Caenorhabditis elegans: one gene and its partner. The protein of the gene in region 2 interacts with the protein of the main gene of each other region in a pairwise test. Each region holds a gene or a part of one and is shown on either strand. Other genes may lie near its edges.

Evidence for each region.
Region 1: the proteins of ZK1053.3 (region 2) and png-1 interact in a two-hybrid assay, tested with the Caenorhabditis elegans proteins (one large-scale study listed by BioGRID).

The regions. Positions count from the first base shown.
Region 1 is NC_003279.8:11,377,074-11,384,361, forward strand, and holds the start of png-1 (Peptide-N(4)-(N-acetyl-beta-glucosaminyl)asparagine amidase), read left to right. Parts: upstream 1-3,157; 5' UTR 3,158-3,164; coding exon 3,165-3,215; intron 3,216-3,437; coding exon 3,438-3,582; intron 3,583-4,171; coding exon 4,172-4,492; intron 4,493-4,548; exon of another isoform or gene 4,549-4,619; intron 4,620-5,853; coding exon 5,854-6,076; intron 6,077-7,011; coding exon 7,012-7,288. Other genes in the region: wbp-4 (U1-type domain-containing protein), read left to right, coding at 463-754, 2,058-2,389, 2,927-2,992. UniProt on the Caenorhabditis elegans protein: Specifically deglycosylates the denatured form of N-linked glycoproteins in the cytoplasm and assists their proteasome-mediated degradation. Cleaves the beta-aspartyl-glucosamine (GlcNAc) of the glycan and the amide side chain of Asn, converting Asn to Asp.
Region 2 is NC_003279.8:13,244,387-13,251,767, reverse strand, and holds ZK1053.3 (LisH domain-containing protein), read right to left. Parts: upstream 4,916-7,381; coding exon 4,577-4,915; intron 4,532-4,576; coding exon 4,313-4,531; intron 4,266-4,312; coding exon 3,900-4,265; intron 3,602-3,899; coding exon 3,439-3,601; intron 3,388-3,438; coding exon 2,087-3,387; 3' UTR 1,990-2,086; downstream 1-1,989. Other genes in the region: ZK1053.4 (SET domain-containing protein), read right to left, coding at 7,161-7,216, 7,272-7,381.

The sequences.
Region 1 (7,288 bases), 1.9 Mb from region 2:
GGCTAATTTTCGATGGTTTAGAGACTTTTTGTACGGAAATAACTTGAAATTTTGGATTTCCACCATTTTCTCATGTTTTTCTAAAAAATTTCGTTAAAAATAGTCTGAAAATCCCAAAAATAACGCTATTTTTCAGGAAAAAGTCGAGTTTTTCGTGGAAAATCAATAAAATTTTAGAAAAAAATTAATAAAATTCTGTTTAAAAAATCAATAAAATTCTTCAAAAAAATCGATAAAATTCCAGAAAAAATCAATAAAATTCTAAGAAAAAATCCAAAAAATTCTGTTAAAAAAATCGATAAAATTCTGAAAAAAAAAGTTTTGAAAAAATCAATAAAATTCTGGAAAAAATCGATAAAATTCCAGAAAAATCAATAAAATTCTGTAAAAAAATCAATAAAATTCTGCAAAAAAATCGATAATTTTTTTTGTCACTTTTCACCCAAAAAACCGAAATTTCAGGCTGTTCGAAGTGGAAAAACCGACGTAGAATCATACATAAAAGCTCAAATCTCAAAAAGTGGGCTCTCGGAGCAAGTAGAAGCCAACCGGAAAGAGCAGAATTATGTGGATAAACCAAATAATAAATTCAAAAAATTGACAAAAGAGGAGAAAAAAGCACAGTGGGAAGAGAGACGCAGACAAAAAGACACCGAGAGAGCAGAGGATGAGGAGAGACGCAGAGAGGCAGAAGAAGACGAAGATGTTTCAGATGAAGAAAGTGATGAAGATGAAGAGGAATTTGAGATTATTGGTACGGAAAAAAGGATGGAAATGCTCAAATTCAACACGAAAAGCTCGAAAAAACGACCGAAAATCATGAAAAATCGATGGAAAAGCCCTGAAAATTAATAAAAATTAAAATTTCGACGAAAATTGGCTTAAAATTGCACATTTTTAACGGAAATTTTACAAAATTTGCTATAAAACGCCGAATTTTGGCTGAATTTTCTCTGAAACATTACCAAAAAACCTACGAAGTTTGGACTAAAAATGTGCAAAAATTTGAAAAAAAAAACACTGAAAATTCAGCAAAAATCCACATGAAAATTGTGAAATTTTCGCCAAAACTTGTATTTTTTGGATTAAAATTCTGAAAAAACACTGAATTTATGTATAAAATTTCGAAAAAAAAACCTATAAAAATTTTGAAAAATAAAATTATTTTCAAAAATTGATAAAAGACGGAAAAATGATGGAAATGGCCAAATTCACCACTGAAATCTCGAAAAATGGCTGAAAAAGACCAAAAATCTTGAAAAATCGATGAGAAAGCCCTAAAAATTGCAAAACTTCGATGAAATTGAGCTGAAAAACCCCGAAATTTGACTGAAAATTGCACATTTTCGGTTGAAATTTCGCCAAAAATCGCTATAAAACGCTTAATTTTGGCTGGAAAATTACCCAAAAACCCTACGAATTTTGGACTGAAAATGTGCAAAAATTTGAAAAAAACACTGAAAATTCGGCGAATTTTGGCCGAAAATCATATTTTTGAGGTGAAAATTCTGCAAAAATCGGTAGAATTTCAAAAAAAAAAACCAATAAAAATTTGAAAAAGACCAAAAATCGATGAAAAATCGATGAAAAAGCCCTAAAAATTGCAAAACTTCGATGAAATTGAATTTTGGCTTAAAATTGCACATTTTTGGTTGAAATTTCACCAAAAAATCGCTTTAAAACGCTGAATTTTGGGCAGAAAATGTGAAAACATTTTGGAAAAATCGATAAAATTCAAATTCTACAAGAAAAGCTCGAATAATGACTGAAAAAAACCCGAGAAATCATGAAAATTTGATGAAAAACGCCGAAATTTGGCTGGAAATTGCATATTTTAGACAGAAATTCTACAAAAAAATCGCTATAAAACGCTGAATTTTGGCTGGAAAATTACCAAAAAAAAACCTACGAATTACGGACTGAAAATGCGAAAAAATTAGAAAAAAACACGCAAAAATCCCATAAAAACCGTGAAATTTTCGGCAAAAGTTGTATTTTTTTGGATAAAAATTCTTTTAAAAATCGATAAAATTCTTTAAAAAATTCAATTGTTCCAGGAACACCAGAACGTGAAGCCCTGGTGCTCCGCGAGCACTCATCAACTCCGCCTCCCGAGGAGCTCCAAGAGCAGCTTGAAGAGCCCCCAAAAATCCCAGAAATTGGGCTCATTGAGCCCCCAAAACCATCAATTCCAACAACACCTGGAGCACCATTTGGAGCATGGCAACGTGTCGAAAAAAGTGAAAAAACGACGGAAATATTCGAATCTCCACTAACTGCACGATTCCGTGAAGAAGAAGAAGAACGGAAGGAGGAAGAAGAGAAAAAGAGACAAGAAGAACCGAAATTTGAATTTGGAGAAAAAACTGCCAGTGTTATGACGAAAAAGGTGCTGAAATTGAGCATCTCCTCGAAATTTGGAGCTAAAAAGCTTCTTGGAAAACGATAAAAATAGGCTTTTTTTAAGACGGAAAAGCTTGAAAATACCATGAAGAAACGTCTGAAATTGAGCTTCTCCTTGAAAATTTGGAGCTGAAAAGCTTTTTGAGCTTCATAAGGTTGAAAATCACTGAAAATTGGTTTTTTTGAGCCGGAAAAATTTAAAAATTTAAAATTTTCATTTTGGAAACGAATAAAATTTCCTTTAAAACTTTTTTTAGTTGAAAAAGAAAATTTTTTTACTAAAAAAATCGTTAAAATTATCAGAAAAATCGATATTTTCCCGAAAAAAATTGATAATTTACTGAAAAATCGACAAAATTATGTTTTTTGAATTAATAAAATTCTAGGCAAAAAAATCGATAAAATTCTGAAAAAATTTTTTTTGGAAAATCACGAAAAAACAATATTTTTCCCGCTGGAAAAGTAATAATTCGACGATTTTTCATTAGATTTTTTTCTCACTAAAAAAATTCCCTTTTTTCAGGTAAAAGGACCGATCGAATTCAAGAAAAAGACAGCAAATCGGAATATTCGAAAACGAGAGGAATAATTTAATTTTTTTTTTCTTGTCACTTATTCCCTGTAATATCTGAATACATTATTGATTTTTCGAGAAAACTTTTTTTTTAAAGTTTATTTGGTCACTTGTAAATATGTCAATTATACCTTTTTCAAGTTTTTAGCGCAAAAAATTGGCTAAAAATTTATTTTTCAGTCGAAAAATGCCGGTAACGGAAGTTGGCTCACTGCCAGAGCTCAATAATATTTTGGAGGTGAGCAGGACATTTTTCTTTGAAAAAATCAATAAAATTTTATTTTAAAAAGTCAATAAAATTTTAGAAAAAAATCGATGAAAATTCTGTAAAAAAATCAATAAAGTTTTGAAAAAATATCGATAAATTTCTGAAAAAAAATCGAAAAAATTCTGAAAAAAAATCAATAAAATTCTGCAAAAAAATTTTTAATTTTTAATTTTTTTAATTTCCAATTTCCAGCGTTCCGATGCGAATCGTCTCATAATTATCGATTTTTTCGCTAATTGGTGTGGCCCGTGCCGTATGATTTCTCCGATTTTCGAGCAATTTTCCGCGGAATACGGAAATGCCACGTTTTTAAAGGTCAATTGTGACGTGGCAAGAGGTAAAAATGGGTCCCGCCACGAAATCTTGTTTTTTCGGATTCAAAAATGTCGATTTTCCGCCGCGAGTTACGACGATTTTAAGTTGGTGGTGGCCTCGTTTTTCCAATTTCTAGGCCGCCAAGTTGAAAACTAGGCCCTAAATTTATAATGTTCGTGTTCAGCTCGCCGAGACCTTTCAGTTGACACCCATCATGCCTAGGTTTGGACGATTTTGAAATTAAAAAAAATTCGGAAAAATTTCTGGGTCCCACCACGAAAATTTTTTTGAAGGCGTTTTTGTATGTTTTCTAAAAGCTTTAAAAAATTTGCTAATGCTCGAATACTTTTCTTTGAAAATTCAAAAATATTGATTTTTCGTCAAGTTACAGCTATTTTATATTGGTGGCCTAGAAAAATCCTAGAAGGTTTCTAGGCCACCAACTTAAAACCGCCATAAATCGCCGGAAAATCAATATTTTTGAATGCAACAAAAAGTAATCGATAGGAAATTAAAAACTCAACTCTTTAGTCTGATAAATCGGTGGCCTAGTTTTTTCTAGGCCACCAACTGAAAAACTAGGCCACCAATCGATTTTTGCGTTTTTTCAGACATTGTCCAGCGGTACAACATCTCCGCAATGCCGACATTCATTTTTTTGAAAAATCGCCAGCAAGTCGACATGGTCCGCGGAGCCAATCAGCAGGCAATTGCCGAAAAAATTCGGCAACACTATTCGCCAACTCCGGCAAATCCCAACGCGGCTTCTGACTCGGAAAAGCGATTTTTGGAGCAATTTGTCAAATGTTCGAACGTACCGAGAAGCTATCAGGATGAGGTGTTCAAGGCTCTGGCGAGAAGTGTTATGCCTGAGGAGCTGGTGGGAAGAGCCATGACCGAGGGGCCGAGGGATGAGAAGGCGATTTTGAAAGGTGCAAGAAGAAAATCGAGAAAATCGAATTCCCTATCGATTGGTTTTTTCGGATCGCGAAAATGTTGATTTTCAGCCGAGTTATAGCCGATTTTTAGTTTGTGGCCTAGAAATCCAAACCTAGGCCACACTACCTCAAACTTCAGATAGACTTCGAAATTTCCTATCGGATGGCTTTTGGTTTTTAGTCCATTTGAAAATATCAATTTTCCGCGAAGTTACAGCGTTTTTAAGTTCGTGGCCGAGGATTTTCCTAGGCCACCAACTTCAATTCACCGTGACTCGGCGAAAAATTGGAATTTTTGAATTCTGAATAATTTTGTGATATCAGCACGAGTTGAAAAAGAAGAAAGGAAAGATAAAATTAATACTTTCAGTACATGGCCTAGGTTTGGGTTTCTAGGCCACCGCCAGAAAAAGTTAGGCCATAACATTGAAAAGTCGATTTTTTGCGGAATTCCTGTACTTCCTGTACCAGTTTGATTTTATTTCATTTAAGAATATCGATTTTCCACCGAGTTACAGCGTTTTTTGGTTGGTGGCCTAGGAAACTCCTAGGCCACCAACCTTAATTCACCGTAACTTGGCGGAAAATTCACTTTTTTCAATTCTGAAAAGTGATTTGACATCAGCACGAGTCAATCAAACATACAAATTTGATACATTCAGTGTTTCCTCGGTTTAGATTTCTAGGCCACCGCCGGAAAAAGTTAGGCCACGAATATAAAAAGTCGATTTTTCGCCAAATTTTCATCGAACTTCGATAACACCCATCATTTGGATTATGTTTCATTTGAAAATATCGATTTTCCATCAAGTTACGTTGATTTTAAGTTGGTGGCCGAGGAGTTTCCTAGGCCACCAACTTAAATTTACAGTAACTCGGCTGAAAATTGGAATTTTTGAATTCTGAAAAGTTATTTGATATCAACAAAAGCCGATAATTTGATATATTGAGTGCGTGGCCTAGTTTTGGATTTCTAGGCCACCAAATAAAAAGTTAGGCCATCAGTTTAAGACGTAAATTTTCGCTTATTTTACAGTAAATTCCAATACTTTATGTCAAATCTAATTCTGCGCCATACAAAAATAAAAATTTTAAGACAATTTAACATGTTTTTAAACTAGTGGCCTAGGAAAATCCTCGGCCACCAACTTAAAATCGCCGTAACTCGGCGGAAAATTCACATTTTTCAATTCTGAAAAATGATCTGATGTCAGCGAAAGCCTAGTAAGCCTATAATTTGATATATTCACTTTATAGCCTAGTTTTGGATTTCTAGGCCACCAATTGAAAAGTTAGGCCATGACTTTAAAAACTCAATTTTCGCGCGGGTTTTAACTAATTTTTCAATTTTTCAGACCTTCTCCACTGGTTTAAAACTCAATTTTTCACTTGGTTCGACCGTCCAACATGTCCCAAATGCACCCTAAAATGCTCAACCGACGGGCTCCAAGGGACTCCAACTCGGGAAGAGCAAAAAGAGGGCGGAGCCTCACGTGTTGAAGTTTACATTTGTGATGGATGTAATACGGAAATGCGATTCCCGAGATATAATAATCCGGCGAAATTGTTGCAGACGAGGTGTGAAGCCTAGAAAAATGTGGCCTAAAAAAATTGCAAATTTGCGAAAGTTAGGCGATCCATAGGATAGCCCATGAAATTCCCTATCGATTGGATTTTGAAAATCCCAAAAATATTGATTTTCCGCCGAGTTATGGCCATTTTTTGTTGGTGGCCTGGGATTTTCCTCACGGGTTTCTAGGCCATCAACTTTAACCAGCCATAACTCGGCGAAAAATCGATATTTTTGAAATCTAATCAATAATCTGAACTGAGCTTAACTAGATCTTCAAAACGGTACCAATTTTGCCTGGTTTACTGTAGGTTTCCAATTTTTCGTGGCGAGACCCAAAATTTTTTGCGAATTTTCAAAAAAACTAGTCATGATGGGTGTTAAATAAAAGCTCTCGACGGGCTGATTACGAATTTGAAATTTTCGGGGTACTAGATTGGTGGCCTAGAAAATCTGGAAAACTAGGCCCCCGGATAATTTTTGTCAAAAATTTAAAATTTCGGTTTTTTTCGTCCAGAAATCGACAATTTCTTCAAAAAATCTATAATTTCTTCAAAAAATCTATAATTTCATCGAAAAATCAATAATTTCATCGAAAAATCAATAATTTCATCGAAAAATCAATAATTTCATCGAAAAATCAATAATTTCATCGAAAAATCAATAATTTCATCGAAAAATCAATTATTTTAACAAAAATCAATAATTTCCACAAAAAATCGATAACTTCATCAAAAAATCGATAATTTCATCAAAAAATCAATAATTTCATCAAAAAATCAATAATTTCATCAAAAAGTCGATAATTTCAACAAAAAATCAATATTTTCATCGAAAAATCAATAATTTCAACAAAAAATCAATAATTTCATCAAAAAGTCGATAATTTTACCGAATTTTCCACAACAAAAAAATCAATAAAAATTATCGATTTTTTTTGCAGAACGGGCCGCTGCGGTGAATGGGCCAATTGTTTCGGGCTTCTGCTTGCCGCTCTTAATCTGGAATCTCGCTTCATCTACGATACAACTGATCACGTATGGAATGAGGTCTATTTGCTCGCCGAGCAACGTTGGTGCCACGTGGATCCTTGTGAAAATACTATGGATCGACCGTTACTGTATACCCGTGGATGGGGAAAGACACTGGGTTACTGTATTGGATACGGTAGTGATCATGTGGTTGACGTCACTTGGAGATATATTTGGGATTCCAAAAAA
Region 2 (7,381 bases):
CATATTCTCGGGCCACCATTCCCATTCCTTTGACCAATTTCCAGTCCAAACGCTGCCTCCACTTGGATTTCTGAGAAGAAGAAGTTTGTGCCCATCTCTTTCAACAATATCCATAATAGTGTAGACATGTTTTGAAAGTATTCCATTGCGTCTTTGAATAGTTGTTTCACATGCCATCGGATATTGATTTTTCTGAAAAATTACCACACCAATTAAAATTTTGAGAAATTCATACTTGTAGTCCATAAGTATCTTCCAGTGTTTGCGAAGTTCTTTTAAAATTCTGGTCGTCAGTATGGACAACACAGGTGATCCAGTAAGAGCAGAAAATGCCGACTGATTTTGAAATCCCGTGATTCCTTTATAATTACCACGTTCCTTAGCAAGAGCTTTTTCAATAAGCGCTGCCCATATCTGAAAATAAAGTTGAATATACAATTTAATGAATTAAAGTGAAAGTTATTACCTGTTTTCCAGAGGTAGCTCCGATTCTCATGTCATCTGTTGTATACGGAAAATAATCGTCAATGATGATAGTTTTCCATTGACCATCCACAAACAGTTTTACTTTATACACACCGTATTTCGATAGTTGCAGTGAATCAAAAATGTTCATGATAACTTCAGGCTTTGTGGAAATTGCAGACAAAGCAGCAACAAGACCACAATCTCCAACTTTTCTTTGGAACACCTCGTACGCGGTGAAAGTCAATGGATCATAAACTGACAAACTGGATGACACGTCGGCGAAAGGTACGGCTAATCGACGTCAGATTTTCGGGTAAAACCAAGTTTTCCAACTCTGAAAATTTGTTAGAATTCGTTAATTTACAGGAAGCGGGGATAGCACACGAAGAAACTATGTATTCGAACGTCAGGAATGATGCTCAAAATATTAAAAAATGCTATTGAACAAACCTCATATTTCCCATATGAGGTCCTAATCCTCTTCAAAAGTCATATAAGACTTGGGCTCATGTGGAAACTCTTTATCTACAAATGTAGATTTTGTCTTTCTGAAAATGCAATTTATTGCATAGAAACGTTTAAAAGACCCTTACTCGCAATATTCCATAATCTGCTTGAACTTTTCGTTCGATTCTTTTTTATTGGAATGATTTTCGATAACTAGCATACCTAATTCCTCATACTCTTCTTCTTTTTCTTCTTTTTCTTCTTTTTCGATTTCTTCGTCATTGTCGTTTTCATCTTCTCTATCCGAGAAAACCACATCATCTAGAGAGCACATCTTGTTTTAAATGTAGAAATGACTAATAATTTTTTTTTGAACTGAGTGTAAAAATTTTTTTCTTCATTTTCCACGTTCTCAAAAAAATAAATCGAACTCCACGAATAAATTTTAAATTTTTTTTTCGAAGTTCGGCAATCCTACAATATGACCTATTGCACCATATTGTCCCAAAATGTTCAATTAAAAATTAATTTCAGACTATAGAAAATCACTTGATTTATCCGAAAATAACATTTATTTCAGCCGGAAATCTTAAGGCAATTTATAACTTTGAGCATTTTTCAATTCGTATGATCTGAAATTAAGTTAGTTTTCAGATTATTCAAGTATTTCTCTATATTTTGACATTAACTTTTAATGAAAAATATTAGAACTACATGGCGCAGTAGACAATTTTGTAGATACTAATAGTACCAATTTTGAATGGCATAGACCAAATACCAAAGTAAAAAGTTGATGATATTATATCGAATCGTATCTCCACGTGATGTCCAAGTGTCTCACTTCGGTTTGATCTACGTAGATCTACAAAAAATGCGGGGTAAAAGACTCAACTGATTCTCAACTGATTTCGCATGGTTAAGAACGTGCTGACGTCACATTTTTTTGGCAAAAAATTCCCGCATTTTTTGTAGCTCAAACTATAGTGGGACAGCCTAGCACCACGTGTATCTAGAATAAATCCTGTCTATAAAACTGGGTATTTTTTTAAAAAACAGTTCAATTGGTTCAACTTTAACTTTATTTGGGCTTTGAAACAAATATTGAAACGCATTGAAAATTAGATAAAAGGTAGAAAAATTGAGCAAAATTAAAGATCACAATCCAGTAAGCTTATGGAGACGCGGAAACCATGTCTGGAATTTCGATATGCTCGAAACTATCCGAATCCGAATCCACGCGACGCTTGTTCTTCTTCTTCTCCAATTCTTGCACAGTGAAAGTATTCACTTCAACTTCGGGAATCGCCACAAACTTCTTCAGATTATCGCAGAATTTTTCCTTCTTGAACCTCCCATCTTTGTCTCTTGTGATAACTGTTGACAAGTAGTTCACAGTTACAAAAACGTTCGAAGTATGATCCTTGGAAGGATCATAGAGGAACTGTGGATAGTAAACTTGGCGGAATCCTTGGGTCATCGAATCATAAATATACTGCTCCATTCGTTCTGTGAACAAGTTCTCCGTGTGAATCACAAACTCATTGGTTTCCGGACAGTGCTCTGCATACTTTGGAACCAAGTGATCTTCCGATGTGGCGTCTTTGCATTTTGAGCATTTAAATGGCTCGAACCGGTGGTATGTTGGATGATAATCATACTTCTCATACTGACCAAGATTGTTTGAACGAACGTAGAGCACATCTTTTCGGGAGAGGGGACAATGTCGCACTTTGAACATTGGTAGAGTACTTATGAAGGTTTTGTTGTATGAGATTTGTTCGGATTCGTGTTCAGACTCAGATTCAGATTCTGAATCAGATTCTGATTCCACTTCGGATTCTGAACCAGACTCACTAGAGCTGTCATAAGCATCCTGCATCTCAATTTCTTCTGCGGACAATTGTTGAACAGGGACAGCGGGAATCTCCACGTGATTCTCACCAACTAACTGCAGCTTTACAACTCCGGGATCTGCTTCCTTGATAACTACGTGCTCACTTCCATTTGTGAGCAGCACTGGTTCTTCAGGTCCATTTTTTCCTCTATAGGTGACTTCAATGCATGAACAGTACACTTCTTTGAATCCTTTTGTTTCGAATGAAAATACATACTGTTCCAGTCGTCCATTAACTCTATTATACATTAAGAGCACTTGGTCCTCAATATGTGAGCACCATTTTGTCTGACGCAGAGATAAATCACACTCTTGAACTTCAACTTCACAAATCTCACACTTGTGTCGTCGGAAATCCTTCAAATTGTGATCATACGTGCAGAATTCGCGGCATTTCCATTCGTCGATAGTCTCAATAACTTCGATTTCTTTCGATAAGCAATAACGAATTGAAATTTTCTGAATGACTGCTGGTAATTTAGGACCTATTCTGTCTGATCTTGGGAAGTGGCTTGATATTGGGTACTGGCCAAGCGGGTTGAGATTGTAATATTCCATCCAGTCGTTTTTTCTTTGATCTGTATTTTTGGAACTGGGTTTTTATAATTTCCAATTTTCAAACTACGTACCTGGAATACTTGGAGCGTTTGAGTTAATCATTAGTGATTGGACATCTGCTGGATTGTGTGGATTCCCAGTTGATAAGCTTTTAGTGACAAGCTCAAAGCTCATTGAGATAATTTCATCAACTTCTTTCAACATCTTCTGTTGAAGGGCAAGTTCTTGGAGAATCTGAAATTTGAAAAGTTTAATCATGTGATGAGATCTTAGAACTAGAACTAGTCCAGGGCTGTAGGAAAACCGTGATTTTGGTAACCGGCAACCAAATTGGTCAAACATATAATTTTGTTGAAATGGTCGGTTTTTCGTTTACATAGAAATTTTAGCATTTTTCTGGCTCTCTGAATGTTTTTTTCTGAGGTAAAAAGTGTTTGACATTGATAGCGACAGTTGCCGAAATTGCCGAACCCCAAAATTGTCAGCAACCATTCATAAAATTTCAAAATCTCTTTTTCGGCACAAAACCAACCTTAAGACGCTGTCGGCTCGTTGATTCGAGTTGTGGGTCGATCATTAATGGCTGCAGTTCCAAAACTTTCTCTGACTCCGCCTCCCAAAATTCATCCTGAGTATCCTTCTCTGGATTTTGCATATGCTTTGCAGAAAAATACAGTTCGTTAACTGATAATCTTGTGGTTTTAAGCTTTGACATTACATCCATTAGTTCAACATATGTCGTTGCTTTGACCATTTGTGTGTAGATATTCGAGTATTCAGATGTAATTGTTCTAAACTCTAGAGGAGCAAATGGTTTCTCTTCGGGAAGAGAACTGCCGTTACGAAGTCGTTCAAAAACCATACTAAACTTGAAACATTTGTTGTTCTCTCGGATTTTCTGAAATTATGAGCTTTTAGAATAATTGCGGTTCAAATTGAGCTTACCTTATTGATTTTCTGGCTATACATGAATTCTTCTTGCTTGATAGACTCAGCATCGCATTTAGGTTCACATTTAACTTGTTCAATTACATCATAAATGATGTATGCAGATTCCGATGGATCGAGAAGTCGTGTTAGCATTTCAACACCTACACCAGGAAACTTTTTGAGAATGAGCTCGATAAGAGCTTGTGCTTGAGTTTTACGTTTTTTTCCAGGAGCCTGAAAATTTTCAAAATATACAAAAGAGCTAATTAATGAACATACCAGTTGTAGAAGGAGCTCCTTGCTACTTATAAAATATTTACAAAATTCCCAATCTTCCTGTGACAGTTTTTTAGATTTCTGCTCCCAAACAGATTTTTGAATGTCCTCAGGCGTAAAACTTTTTTTCGACATACAATGATTCAAATATGACAACATAAGGATCGGAGCAAGGTTTGGAGGACGGTCTTGGTCTGAAGTTCCAGCCGCATTGTTAGGAGCCGCTGGAGCTGATGCTTCGCCAGTTTCATTCCCAGTCGCAGTATTGGAGAAGTAACTGTCCAGTTGCTGAACAAGTCTCTCTTCGGTACCTGGAGGGTTTGGAGTGTTAGAGTCCGACATTGGCGCCTGAAAAAATGGTCTAAGTGAGTTTCATTGTGGAATGTAAAAAGGATGAGAAAAGTGTTGAAAGTTGTAAAAATCTAATTTTCTGAGGGCCCTCGAGCTATAATATGGTATGTCTTAAATATGACGTCATGAGAATTGGAGCAAGACTTGGAAGTGGATCCGACTCGTTGGTTTGAATTGTGAGAGCAGGAACTTCGACATTTTCATTTCTAGCTGGAGTGTTGAGAAAGTATCTGTCTAGTATCTCAACAAGCCTGCGTTTACGGTCAGAACGTCTAAGGTTTGGGAGGTCCGGCATAGTTGTCTGAAAATAAATTCTACATAATATAAGAGAAGCTGGGGAACGAAAAGAGCTGAGAAAAGATTAAAGGAAAGACTGACTCTGAAGGAAATATTATGTGTCCCCGCAAGACACCGCAAAAAACACAAAATCTTCCCTTTGGTTCGATTTAGAGATAAAGCAGAAATAACAAAAGCGGTTCAAATTATTTTAGTCGAAAATAACAAAATTTTGGCCGACTGTAAACGTTTTTCCTACTTGCAAAATTCTACGTATTTTCATTCATTTGGCTCAGAATACTTGGAAAACAATAAAATAAGCCATAGAAAGTCTCGAATAAAGTGAATTTCCATCTGCTGTTTGGCCGTTGAGTCGGTCGTCTACGGTTGTTCAGCCGCTTTTTGTTTGCCAATCAGCCATGTGCGGCTTTCCAGTAGCTGCTTTCGGAGCACATCGCTTAACGTGAGCCGTAAGAGATTACTAATATAATAAAAGAGAGATAAATTGAATTTTTAAATCTAGAAAGGCCTAAATTTTGTTTTTTTTAAGTTAAAGGAGACCGTCGGGACTTTATCAATTTTTCAAAATTTCAAAAAGAGGTAAAAAATTAATTTCAAATGTTTATACCTACAAAAACTAAAAACGCATATGTACTCGGCAATTCCCGGCAGCTTCTTTCCCAAGTTTGGGCCTTTTCAGCTTCTTACCAAACTCTTGCCAACTTCTAACCCAGCGTATGCCCAAGTCTTACCCAACTTCAACAATTCTAGTGTAAACTCCCTCGCCCGAGTCTTGCCCAAGTCTTAGCCAAGTCTTGCCAACTTCTTACCCAAGTTTGCAGATGTAAAGAACGAACAAGATTCCGAAATCCCGCATGCGCAATGTTTAGCGTAAATCGACACTTTGTCTTTTGATTAATTTGTATTTAAAATAGAGGAATTTCAATGTAATTGAAAGAATTCACAGGAAAACTTGTCCCTTCAAAGGCAAATTCTAAATATTTTTCTCTGATGGCTAACATTGTTTAAAAAAATGTACGATCAAAGTTTGATTTTTATTGCCATTTTGTCTAATAAACCATTTAATTCATCTAAAAATAAAAAGAAAAGTTATCTTCAGGATGATTCTTCTCCTAGTCAGTCCAATAGTCAAATAATAGTCAGTCAATCCTATGCATCAAATTTTGAATTTTTCTAAGACTGAACTGTTCCTTTGAAATGTAAACTTTTATAAAATTGAAAGACATGAAACAAACATGAATTACAGTAATTCTGTAAATTCTGAACTTAGAATCATTAGGGAGCACACTTGAAAACATATGAAATAAGGTATGTGAGAATACCGTATCAATCAGATATGTCTGATACTTCCTCAAAAATATCTATCAGAATATGAGTACGATATATTATTACTAGTGTGCATCTTTTCGCGCGACCATCATGGCTCAGCAGGTAATTCTTCGGAACAACAGGAAATGCGATCAAAGTTCAACACACAGGTATAAATTGGGTAAGAAATAGGCAAAACTTGGGTAAGACTTGGGTAAGACTTGGGCGACGCCTCCAAACGACGAGGCAGACCACGACTTTTTTCATTTTTGTGGCGGCGCCCAACTCTTGCCCAAGGTTTACCCAAGTCTTGGCAACTCCTTATAAATGTTTTTATTTTTTGGGCAAGGCTTGGGTAAGAAGTTGCGAAGCCTTGGGTAGGAAGCTGGCGGCAAACGCCGAGTACATTTTGTCCTCTTTCAAAAACATAGAATTGCTGATTTTTTGTTGTTCTCTTGAACAAAATTGTTGCGCAAAAATTCTGGCATAAAAACGTTGTTTTAGTACAAATCGACTGAAGGTATTTTATTGTAAAAAAGCAACGTTACAAAGAAAATTTCAGATATTAAAAGACAGAGAATGTTCGAATTTACAAATTTTTTTTTACAAATTACGAAAAAATAGAAGATTTTCAATCAATTTCAGATGGTGTCGGTTGTGGCGATGAAATCAATTGGTGATTTGTTTCTGAAAATTGGTCTTGTAATATTTCTAAAAATGATGTATAGTAACAATCACAAACCTGGAATAACCATTGCTTGAACAGAAGAACATTGTGACAAACTTGGAGTAAATCTTTGTGGCCAAGGAAGAAAAATCTCAACATTCGGCAGCAGATTCTTCATTTTCTTC